Linked DNA regions of Sus scrofa. The protein of the gene in region 1 binds, or shares a complex with, the protein of each later gene. Links are inferred from orthologs where the notes say so. Each region holds a gene or a part of one and is shown in the gene's direction. Other genes may lie near its edges.

Evidence for each region.
Region 2: BUD13 (region 1) and PPIL2 share a complex: the UniProt entries of both Homo sapiens proteins name them as parts of the minor spliceosome. The link is inferred for Sus scrofa from reciprocal best matches to the Homo sapiens genes BUD13 and PPIL2.

The regions. Positions count from the first base shown.
Region 1 is NC_010451.4:44,161,760-44,167,262, reverse strand, and holds the start of BUD13 (BUD13 homolog), read left to right. Parts: upstream 1-1,861; 5' UTR 1,862-2,028; coding exon 2,029-2,171; intron 2,172-4,393; coding exon 4,394-4,487; intron 4,488-5,503. UniProt on the Homo sapiens protein: Involved in pre-mRNA splicing as component of the activated spliceosome. As a component of the minor spliceosome, involved in the splicing of U12-type introns in pre-mRNAs.
Region 2 is NC_010456.5:50,221,941-50,226,685, reverse strand, and holds part of PPIL2 (peptidyl-prolyl cis-trans isomerase-like 2), read left to right. Parts: intron 1-807; coding exon 808-859; intron 860-2,124; exon of another isoform or gene 2,125-2,480; coding exon of another isoform or gene 2,481-2,525; intron 2,526-3,739; coding exon 3,740-3,791; intron 3,792-4,745. UniProt on the Homo sapiens protein: Has a ubiquitin-protein ligase activity acting as an E3 ubiquitin protein ligase or as an ubiquitin-ubiquitin ligase promoting elongation of ubiquitin chains on substrates.

The DNA.
Region 1 (5,503 bases):
TGGCATATGGAGGTTCCCAGGCTAGGGGTCGAATTGGAGCTATAGCTACTGGCTTACGCCAGAGCCACAGCAACACGGGATCCGAGCTGCTTCTGCAACCTACACCACAGCTCACAGCAACGCCAGATCCTTAACCCACTGAGCAAGGCCAAGGATTGAACCCGCAACCTCATGGTTCCTAGTCGGATTCGTTAACCCCTAAGCCACCATGGGAACTCCTCATTCATTCTTTCGATAGATAAGTTTGAGTGCTTGCTTTGTGCTAGGCACGTCATAGGACTGAACAAAATAAAGCTCTGCTTTCATGGAGCTTTAAGTATAGTGGGGAAAATTGGCAAGCAGTAGGTGGGGGTTGACAGGAAACTAACAAATGGAACATTGTCAGATTAATAATGGAGGAATGTCAAGCAGGGAAGGGGTCTGGGTGGTGTCAGGGAAGGCGGGGGCATTGAACTGCAGGGAAAGGGTAAAACTTAGACTGCCACTGGTCATGAATTCCTTTGGTCCTGCTTAACTGCCCTGTGAGGAAGTGTTAAGACTAGAGCTTGGGTCTTGTCAGGCTAAGGGTAGGTATTGAGTGGAATGGGTAGAGGTAGAACTGATGACAGAAGAGGGCAGGAGGGCATGGGGTTGAGAGAACTATAGGAGTAATATTCACTGGAGTGGCAGTGGGAGACTCCCCATGTCTGCTGACACCAGCTTGAGGTACATTAAAGCAGACTAGAAGCCAAGGCAAGGTTGTGGGTGGGGGACCTATGGTCCCCTGCAGCTATTGATTCCCCTGTCAGTCCAGTGCCCCCTTCTCACAAGCCCTCAAGAGACCCAGCCTGCTTTTCTTCCTGGGCCGGTGCTGTGACCAGTCAGTATGGCCCAGAGGTTAAAATTTCTTGCTTCAGGGCGGTGATCTCCAAACCTGTTTTGTTACATATAAGTATTTTCTGAACATGTATCCCAAGATACATGTATTTAGTGATAAAGTATGACAATGCCTTCTTGAGTAATGCCTTGAAACAGTTACAGTGATTTAACATATATAATGAGATACATAGAATGTAAGATATAATTTTTTTCCAGAAATTTTGTATTACCTCTTGTACCCCACCTTTTTGGCCTCTGCTCCCAAGGGTCATATATTCTGGCTGTGTGAAGTTGGGCAACTTAACTTCTCCAAGTTTCAGTTTTCTCATCTGTAAGGATAATAAAACTATCTGAGAAACATGAGGGTTAAATGAGATAATTCAAGTAAAGCTCTTAATGCTTACAAGAAAAAGTCTTCTCCCCAAACTTGAGTATTAGAATTCAGTCTTTCTAGCTTCTTTCACGATACTGAAAATAGATCCAAGTCCTTTGCACTGGAGATTTTCCACACAAGAGATAGCTAGGGGCAACCAGTAATACCGAATGTGGATAAGTTACACAGGTTAGAAACCTCCATATTTTTCAGAACAATTATACTGGGTTTGGAATTCCTGACTTCCTCTCTTGAGTGGTTCTTGAAGGCCTATTAAAGCAGATTCCTCTCCATCTAAACATGCTAATAAAAATAACTAACATACTGTGTACCAGATGCTGTTCAAAGCACTTTACACGGTAATATTCTCTCAAGTCATTGCAACCATTGATTTAGGTGTGATTTTTATCCCCATTTTGTTAAATAATTTGCCCAAGGTCGTACAGCTAGGAAGTTATGAAACCAGAACTCAAACTTAGATGCGCTGCAACTCTGAAGTAGATCTCTGGAGTCGCAGTTGTAGCCTTGTTGCTGCAATAAGGCTTGAATGAGCAGATAGATGGACAACAGGAAAAACACGGTTGCGCATCGGGGGGCGGGGGGATGTAGACTGGGCACCGGAGATATGCTCATTCCTCATTAGCCCTTAAACGCTCTCTTTCATCTATCAGCTTGGACTGCTCCAAATACTCGGCCACTTCCGGGCCCGGTTGCGCCTCCTAGGGTCCTCGCCGTTCGTTTCGCGTTCAAGAATTTTGTCCCTAGCGCCCGTCCGTCTCCCCGCCCTCGCCGCTGCCATGGCGGCAGCTCCGCCGCTCTCCAAGGCCGAGTATCTGAAGCGTTACTTGTCCGGGGCAGATGCCGGTGTCGACGGGGGCCCTGAATCCGGCCGCAAGCGTCGCAAAAAGCGGCCGAAGACTGGCGGGGCTGGCGGCAAGGGGTGAGTTGGGTCTGGCGGCTTGGGTCCGCGGGGCTGCCCCCCCCCTCCCGCCTTCCCAGCTCCGCCCTCGGCCCGGCTCTTCCTCGACGGGTCGCGGGCTGCCCGGCTTTGACTGCTCGCCCGACCCTGCCTCAGCCCAGAGTCGGCCGGGGCCGCTTCTCGCGCGCTTCGGCAGTAACTTGGGTGTATTCAGGCCAGGCTGTAACTTTCATTACTCTCTTCCCGCTTTTATAGCAGTCCGTCTTCTCTCGCAGAGAATGAATATTATACCCTGAAAGTATTGGTGGAGCGAATTCAAAGGCTCTGGGCTTGGGTATTTAGGGCCCAGAACCTGTCTGGGGCGGGGGGGGGGGGGGCGCTTCTCCAATCCTAAGGACTCCCGTCCTGAGTTGGAAACCTGGTGCTCATTTCCTGTTATTCTTACTACTACCACTACTACTACCACCACCAAGTAACATTTGTACAGTTCTTGTCATGTGCCAGGCACCGTTCTGAGTCCTTTAGATATACATGAATTTATTTAAGCTTCATAACGCTACCATGAAGTAGATGTTGTTGTTAACCCCATTTGTCAAACAAGGAAAATTACGTGGCCCAGCGTGCTGGGTTGAATAGTGCCTCTTCTCTCCAATTTATGACCACCCAGGACCTCAGAGTATGACATTAGAAATAGGGTCTGGTGTTCCTGTCAGTGGCTCAGCGGTAACGAACTGGCTAAGATCCATGAAATTGTGGGTTCGATCCCTGGCCCCGCTCAGTGGGTTAAGGATCCAGCGTTGCCATGAGCGGTGGTGTAGGTCGCAGACGCTGCTCGGATCCTGCCTGGCTGTGGCATTGGCGGGCTACAGCTCCCATTCGACCCCTAGCCTGGGAACCTCCATATGCTGTAGGTGCGGCCCTAAAAAGACAAAAAGAAGAAAAAAAAAAAAGAAGAAATAGGGTCTTTGTAGATGTAATTAGTTAAGATGAGGTCATAGTGAATTAGGATGGGCGCTAAGTCCAATATGACTGATGTCCTTTTAAGAAGAGGAAAATTTGGATACAAAAACAGGCTTTGAGGGAAAATTACTGTGTGAAGATGGAGGCTGAGACTGGACTGGATTCATATGCCACTAGGAGCTACCAGATACTGGATGAGTCAAGGAAAGATCTTCCCCTAGAGCCTTCCTGGCAGGCGTTGCCTTGCAGATACCTTGATTTCAGACTTGAAGCCTCCGGAGCTGTGAGAGAATACATTTCTGTTGTTTTAAGCCACCCAGTTTTGTGGTACTTTATTAGGCAGCTCTAGGAAACTACCCAGTAAAGTCAGATAGCTACAAGGGACTAATCCATTTCCTTTCCTGATTTGGTTGTCCCGTTATTCTTCCTTTATGTCTTCCAGCCCCCTCTGACTTGTGTGGATTCCTTGGAGGAAGTGCCATGTAGTGAAATTAGCTTGAGCTTTGCAGCGACACTGATCAATATTTAAGTCCTAGCTGTGCCACTTTCTGGGCTAAGCCTCAATTTCTTCATATTTAAAATGAGAGTAGTAGTGAATGGTATCATTTATATTAAATGATTGTGATTAATGATCTTGGCTTTTCAAATAACTGTTTACATCATGGCAGTTATTTTTATTATTTGGACTCATCCATAGCTTATCTATGGAACAAAATTTATTGAATATTCTCTATGCTAAGGTGTTGAGGGGTGCAGGATATCCCTGTAAATAAGAGAGGCATAGTCCCTATTCTGATGGAACTTATAGTTCAATGGGAATACAGCCGTTAAGCAACTAATTACACAACTTGTTGATTTATTTCCTTTTTGATAAATGAAGTAGAAATATTCCAAGAATGTCTAGCAGGGGTTCTTAGTTGGGGATGGTAAGGGAAATAGTCAAGGAAGGTATGCTCAAGGAAGTCATATATATGCTAGGATTTTAAGAATGAATAGGAGTTTCCCAGTAAAGAATGAGAAGAGTAGGTCAGGCAGAGAGAAGGAATTGAGTTTGTGAAACTGATATGGGAAAGAGTTTGGCTCATTCTAGACAGCAGAAGATGACCAGTGAGTAGGGAACCGAGAAGGCAGTGGTATAAGATGAAGTTGGCCATACTGGCAAAGAATGGACCATAAGATCTTGTAGGATTTTGAGCTTTAGCCTAAAACCAATAGATAGATGTTTGTTGGCTGTTAACCAAGAATGATTCTTCTCTTTTGATCTTTTTATTTTCCACATTTAGTATGCGGATTGTGGATGATGACGTGAGCTGGTCATCTATCTCCACCACTAAACTGGAAAAGGAGGAAGAGGAAGATGATGGAGATTTGCCTGTGGTATGTATCTTTTTATTTTTTTGACCGAGCAAGGGGCATGCATGAGAAAGTCCTAGGCCAAGGATCGAACCCATATCACAGCAGTGAATTGCTGAGTCCTTAACCACTAGGCTACCAGGGAACTCCTCTATCTTTTGAGGCTGTGAGGACTTTGAAGTGTAAGCCTCTCAATCTCAACTCCCAGTGCAGGGTATATTTATTTGTAAGGAGAAAAGTTGAGGGCAGAGACGAGGTGACACTTTCCTGGAGCTATTGTAAAATAGTCTTCTTTGACGATGGCTATACACAGTCTTTGTTTATGGAGGGCCCTATCAGCTTGGAAATGGGAACAAATCACAGAGAGGCAGGATTCCTCAGTGTCAGTGATAGAGCTGTCGTTAGAATTAGCCGTGGTTCAGTTTGTTGGAACCTACCTTAAAAATAATGTTCAGGTTCAATTAAAGGAAACTTTTTGTTTGCTCCTTTTATTCCCTGATTTTAACTAAGCTTTAAAATTATATACTTTTGTCTAAGTATAGGCGATATGTAGATTAATAGAACACATAGAGGTCATACCTTAGAATGGGAGACTGAATTTCAGCAATGTGATGAATGTTGGAAGACAGGTGACATGTGCACCAAGTCCTTTTAGAGAACAGGGCAGGTGGCATACTTTTTATTTCATTGGGAAATTCCACGGAGTATATAAATATCTGAGTTGAGTTTTGAAAGATGAATAAGAGCCAGGTGGGCAAAAGCATAGGCCGATGAGTTACTGTTGGTATGGTCATGGAACCTTTGCTCAGAATTGCTGAGAAGGTGAAAAGGAGAGCTGTTGATAGGCTGTATTATACTAAAAGATGAATTCTAGATGAGATATTTAATGTTAATGCCCAGCATATTTTATAGTAGATCATTTAAAAGGTTTGTTAGTAATTTAAAGGGAAATAGTGATCACAAGGAGCCAATTTAATCTCAGAATGAGTTGCTGAAACCTAGTTAATGTTTATAACATTTGTTGTTATTTTTTATTATAT
Region 2 (4,745 bases), on another chromosome or scaffold:
CAGTAGCCTGGGAATCCCTGGCTGGGCCTTTTGTGGACCTGGGAGGGACTCTCAGGGCATCAGGCACGAGGCAGCAGTGCTGCTATGATCTCTACCCACAGTGGCACCGACCCTCCCCACAGTGGGGCCTGGGCATTCTGTGAGCCCTGCACCTGTTTCACAGTGTCAGCGAACCAAGTGTTTTTCACTTTATGAAAGCAGAGCCACTACTAAAGTGCACATTTTCCTAGTGTTGTATTTTGGGGTGTTTTGCTCAGTTTTATGTTCTGGCTTGAACCAGCTTCTGTAATTTTCTCATGGTTCAGACTCCTTTTAGAAAGTTTGGAAAATACTTTGAACTAAAAAGAAAACTTACCGTAACCACACTGTCCAGGATGAGCACTGTCAGTCCCTCACTCCTCCCTTTCTTGGGGTTTATTTGCAGTAACCTGGTTAAGGTTGTATGGTGAACATAGTTCTGGATCCGTTTTTCACTGAGTTATAATGAGAGCTTCCCCCCGCCCCCCCCATGTCATGCAGAATCCTCAGGAAGTATGAGTTTTGATGTTGGCTCAGTATCTTCTTGTACACATGCATCCATGTGTATGTTCGTCTTTTCCCGCTGGTTTGTGTTGTTTACACATGTCTGTACATGACCGCGGTGAAAACCTTGAATGTACTTTGAAGAGCATGTCACCAGAAATCTCCTGTGGCCGCTCTGATGGTGCAGAGCCCCTGCCCACTCTCCCCTGGACTGCAACCTTGTCGCCAGGCTGCCCCAGGCTGCCCCAGGCTGCCAGCTGACACGCTCTTTTCCCTTCCTTCCAGAAACATCGTTCCTTGGCTGAAGAAGTACGGGACCAACCCCAGCAACGGAGAGGTAGGCGGCTGTGCAGGAGCCTTCGCGGTGTGGTCGGTGGACTGTCCCCTCCTCCTTCACACCAAGCCTTTCTAGACTGTTTCTCACACAAGTACGTGTGCCTGCAGCCATCTCTCCTCGGCACTGATGCTGCCACGCACGTGACTGTCATCCCGCGGGGCTGGGATCAGCATGTCTGGCACTGCCTGCGCCTGGAGTGTCCATGTGTCCCTTCCTGTGGGCCCTATTGTTACAGACAGTGGTCAGTCCTCCTGGAACTGCTGGCCGCTGGGGGGCTGTGTTCTCAGTTTGGGAGCTCCTGGCAAATTCTCCCCCCAGAGAGGTCACGCTGTTCCAAACTCCTGATGGCAGCGTGTGAGACAAAATGCGTTTCCGCAGACCCTAGGCATCTCTGGGTACCAGCCGTCTCTGAGTGTTCCTCCTTAGAGGCAGCAGTGCTCTGCAATCTGCACCCCAGTGGTGAGGGCGGGTGAGCATGGTGTGTCATGCAGGCCTGTGTGAAAGAGTCCCGGGTTAAGGTCTGGCTTACCTCCTGTCCACATGCCCCGCTCACTATTGTCCTAAAGCCCTGGCTCCTGTGTCGTGCTCCTCCCCTCTGCTCTCCTGTCCCTTCACCTCGAGTTAGCCCTCCTTCCATTCACTCAGCAGGAAAGTGTTAGCCATGCTGTGTGGGGCCTGGCACTGCGAGCAGAGTAGGTGGGAGGCTGGATGCTGATCTGGGGAGGATGGGTGGGCCTAGGGACGTCTCTGGAGCAGCGCCATTGAGGCTGAGACCTGGGGATGAGGGGAGATGGTAGCAAATGGTCAGAGGCACATCAGGGGCCTTGCAGGCCCAGGAGGGAGCTTGGCTTTTTTCTGGGTGGGCCAGAAGCCAGGCAGGTCTTTAATCTGGAGTTTGCTGCAATCTGGCTTTTTGAAAGGCTCTCTCTGGCTGCTGTTTGGAGAACAGACTGCAGGAGGTTGAGGGTGGGGACCCTGGGCAAGAGGTGCCAGTGGACTTGAACCAGGGTGAAGGCTGAGGAGGTGGAGCCAAGGGCCTAGACCACTGGGACGTGCAGAGACATCAGGACAGTGGTGTCTAGGAGGATGGGTGGTCACTGTCTTGGCTAGTCCTGTGTCTGCAGGGATGGGCAGGAGGAGCTGGGAGATCCAGCCTGTGCCCAGCATCTCAGGCTAGTGATAGAAGGGAGATCCCTCAGGGTCGGAGCGAGGGTGGAGGGGAAGGAATGGTTCGGGGAGGAGCAGGGGGTGGGCTGGAGATGGGCTGAGGAGGGCAAGCAGGGAGAGTGGGACCTCTGCTGGACTGTGGAGGACAGATCAGCTCCCCCAGGGTGTCAGGGGAGGTCACCATGATGGAGTCTGGCCCACTCTGGGGATAGCAGGCAGTGTGGGGACCAGCATAGCCAGGACCCAGGCCCAGCGGTGGTTAGAGCCCTGTCTGCTGGGATGAAGCACACCCTGCATGGGTGGGTGAGGCCTGGTCCGCTCTGGGACAGATCCTGGAGGCTGTGTGGAGAGTGGAGGCCATCATTGTCATTGTCCTCCAGGAGGCCCACATGGACCCAGGTGCTGTGAGGCTGGGGGCACAGAGTGTGAGCAGTGTCCTGGCAGCTGGCTCCGGATGTGTGAGCTGCGGCCGGTTCAGTCTTGTTACCTGTTCCTGCAGGTCAGCATGTGCCAAGTCGCCACTGCAAGGGGCTTGTTTTCCGGGTCCACTGCCTCCCCAGCATCAGGCCATGTCTGCCCCCCCGGAGCAGCTGTGTCGAGGCTGGGGTTCCTCTGCTGGGGGCCCTGCCCTGCCCCATGTCCTGGTGGTTCCTTTTCTGCACCTGTCCCCAAGTCCCCAGTTGCCTCCTATTACTGTGTGCTCCATGGGTGCTTGTGGGTTCCAGACACTTGGCCCAGTGTGGCTGCTGACTCGTCCATGGTTTGGGCTCCCCTCTCAAGAACTGGCCCTTGCCTTCGCTCCAGGCGTCCTGTTGGGGGAGTCCCCCTGGTGCCCCTGGCCTTGGAGGCGGGGCTTGGTCAGCCGTGTGGCCTCAGCAGAGCCCCTGCCGCACCTCTGAGTAGGGTCCCCATGGCATCAGCCACGGGAGGAGTGTACTGGGGGCCTCCCTGGGTCATGTGTGCCTGGAGGAGGGGGGCTGGCCATGGGAGCAGCCTGGGCGGCCCTGCCTCTGTCCTGGCAGAGGCGTGCCTGCACGGGGCATGGGGCAGTTGACCAAGGAAGGCGGCGGCAGAGGAGCAGGTGTGGAGAGGACAACCGGTGGCCGCAGGGGCTGCTTCCTGAGTCCAGTGTTCCCAGGGGTGCTGTGCCTCCCTGCCCGAGGTCTCCTGCAGCCCCTCACTTCCTTGGGCCAAACCTCCACTTCAGGGGCTCCTCTGGCTGCCCAGACCCAGCTTTATTGTCCAGCTTCCCATAGAAGATTAAGTCACAGGCACAGTACAGAAATTTTGAGAAATACCACATTTTTTCTTGGTACTTGGGTGTACTTATTCCTTTTCCCCCACTGTTTTTATTTCTCTGGTAGTTATACAGCAGAGCGTTAGGGTGAACGCCTGTACCCACTGTCTGGCTGAAGAAACATTCATTTAAAAATTTCATGGGTGGTTGGTGCTCACCATAAAAATGCCTGAATGTTGTTGAGGCGTGAAACTACCCTCCCCGCCTCGGCCTCAGCTTGGGCGGCACCTGGAGTAAGTTGCTTTGAGGGGGGCCATCCATTCCAGGTTCACCACCAGGTCCTTGGGCCCCCATGCCATTTATAGTGGCAAAGGCTGGGGTGGTCAGAGGCTGCTATCTGCCTGTTGCACCAGCTTTGTGGCCTCAGTGTTTGTCATATTTTTCATTGTTATTAATTATTATTTACACTTTTCCAGAAACTGGATGGGAGGTCGCTGATCAAACTGAACTTTGCAAAGAACAGTGAAGGTGAGTGACTCCTTTATAACCAGCCCTGGGATTGGCCTGTGGAGCCTGAGGCCCTGCCCTCACTGAGTCCTTGTTCCTTTCTGATCAGGCAGGACATTTGCTTTTAATTTCTCAAAGATGTAATACTTTCTTCTTAAACATTTGGGTAGTCTAGAGCTGGGGGGTGTTTGGGGCACTTCTTCCCACATGTGGGCCACGGGTGGCCTTTGTGGGCACAGCTGGGCCCCTCGGACACAGGCCCTGCCCGGCTGTGGCTCTGGTCTGGTCCCTGCTGGAGACAGAAACTACTTGGGCTGCAGCCCAGGGTGGGCGGCTCTGGGGCTGGTTTCTGCTCACCACTGATCATAAAGTCCAGCCCAGTCTTGGGGTCCCCCTGCTCTGCACCCCTCCTTGCTGTCCACTGTTCTGGTTGACCAGATTGCCTGTGCTGAGGTGACCTTGTAGACACTCTTTGCTTTTGGTTCTTTATGGGCAGTTCTCTGTGTTTTGGGGAGGTGCTTAAGCACTCAAGGCTGCCCGGCCCATGGCAGGTGCTGGCTCATGGTGAACCTTGGCTGTGAACCTTGGGGGACCAGAGCACGGCCCTCCCTGATGGGTAGAGCACCATGGGCTTCCGCTCAGAGCAGCTGCTTCAGGGAGGTCCACGGTATGTCCTCTTCCACAGATGTTTACTCAGTGCCTGCTGTGTGTAGAGAGCAAAACACGCAGGCCTCTCCCGAAGTGAAAGGAGGGAGGACATGGGACAGCGGATCCTTGTAGTGGGTCTGCTCCTGCGTGCGCCAGGGTCAAGTGAAGCAGGAGAGGATGCTGACACCAACAGAGTTTGAGTGGGACTCTTTTTTTTTTTGTCTTTTCTAGGGCTGCACACGTGACACATGGAGGTTCCCAGGTTAGGGGTCCAATTGGAGCTGCAGTCGCCGGCCCACGCCAGAGCCACAACGTGAGATCTGAGCC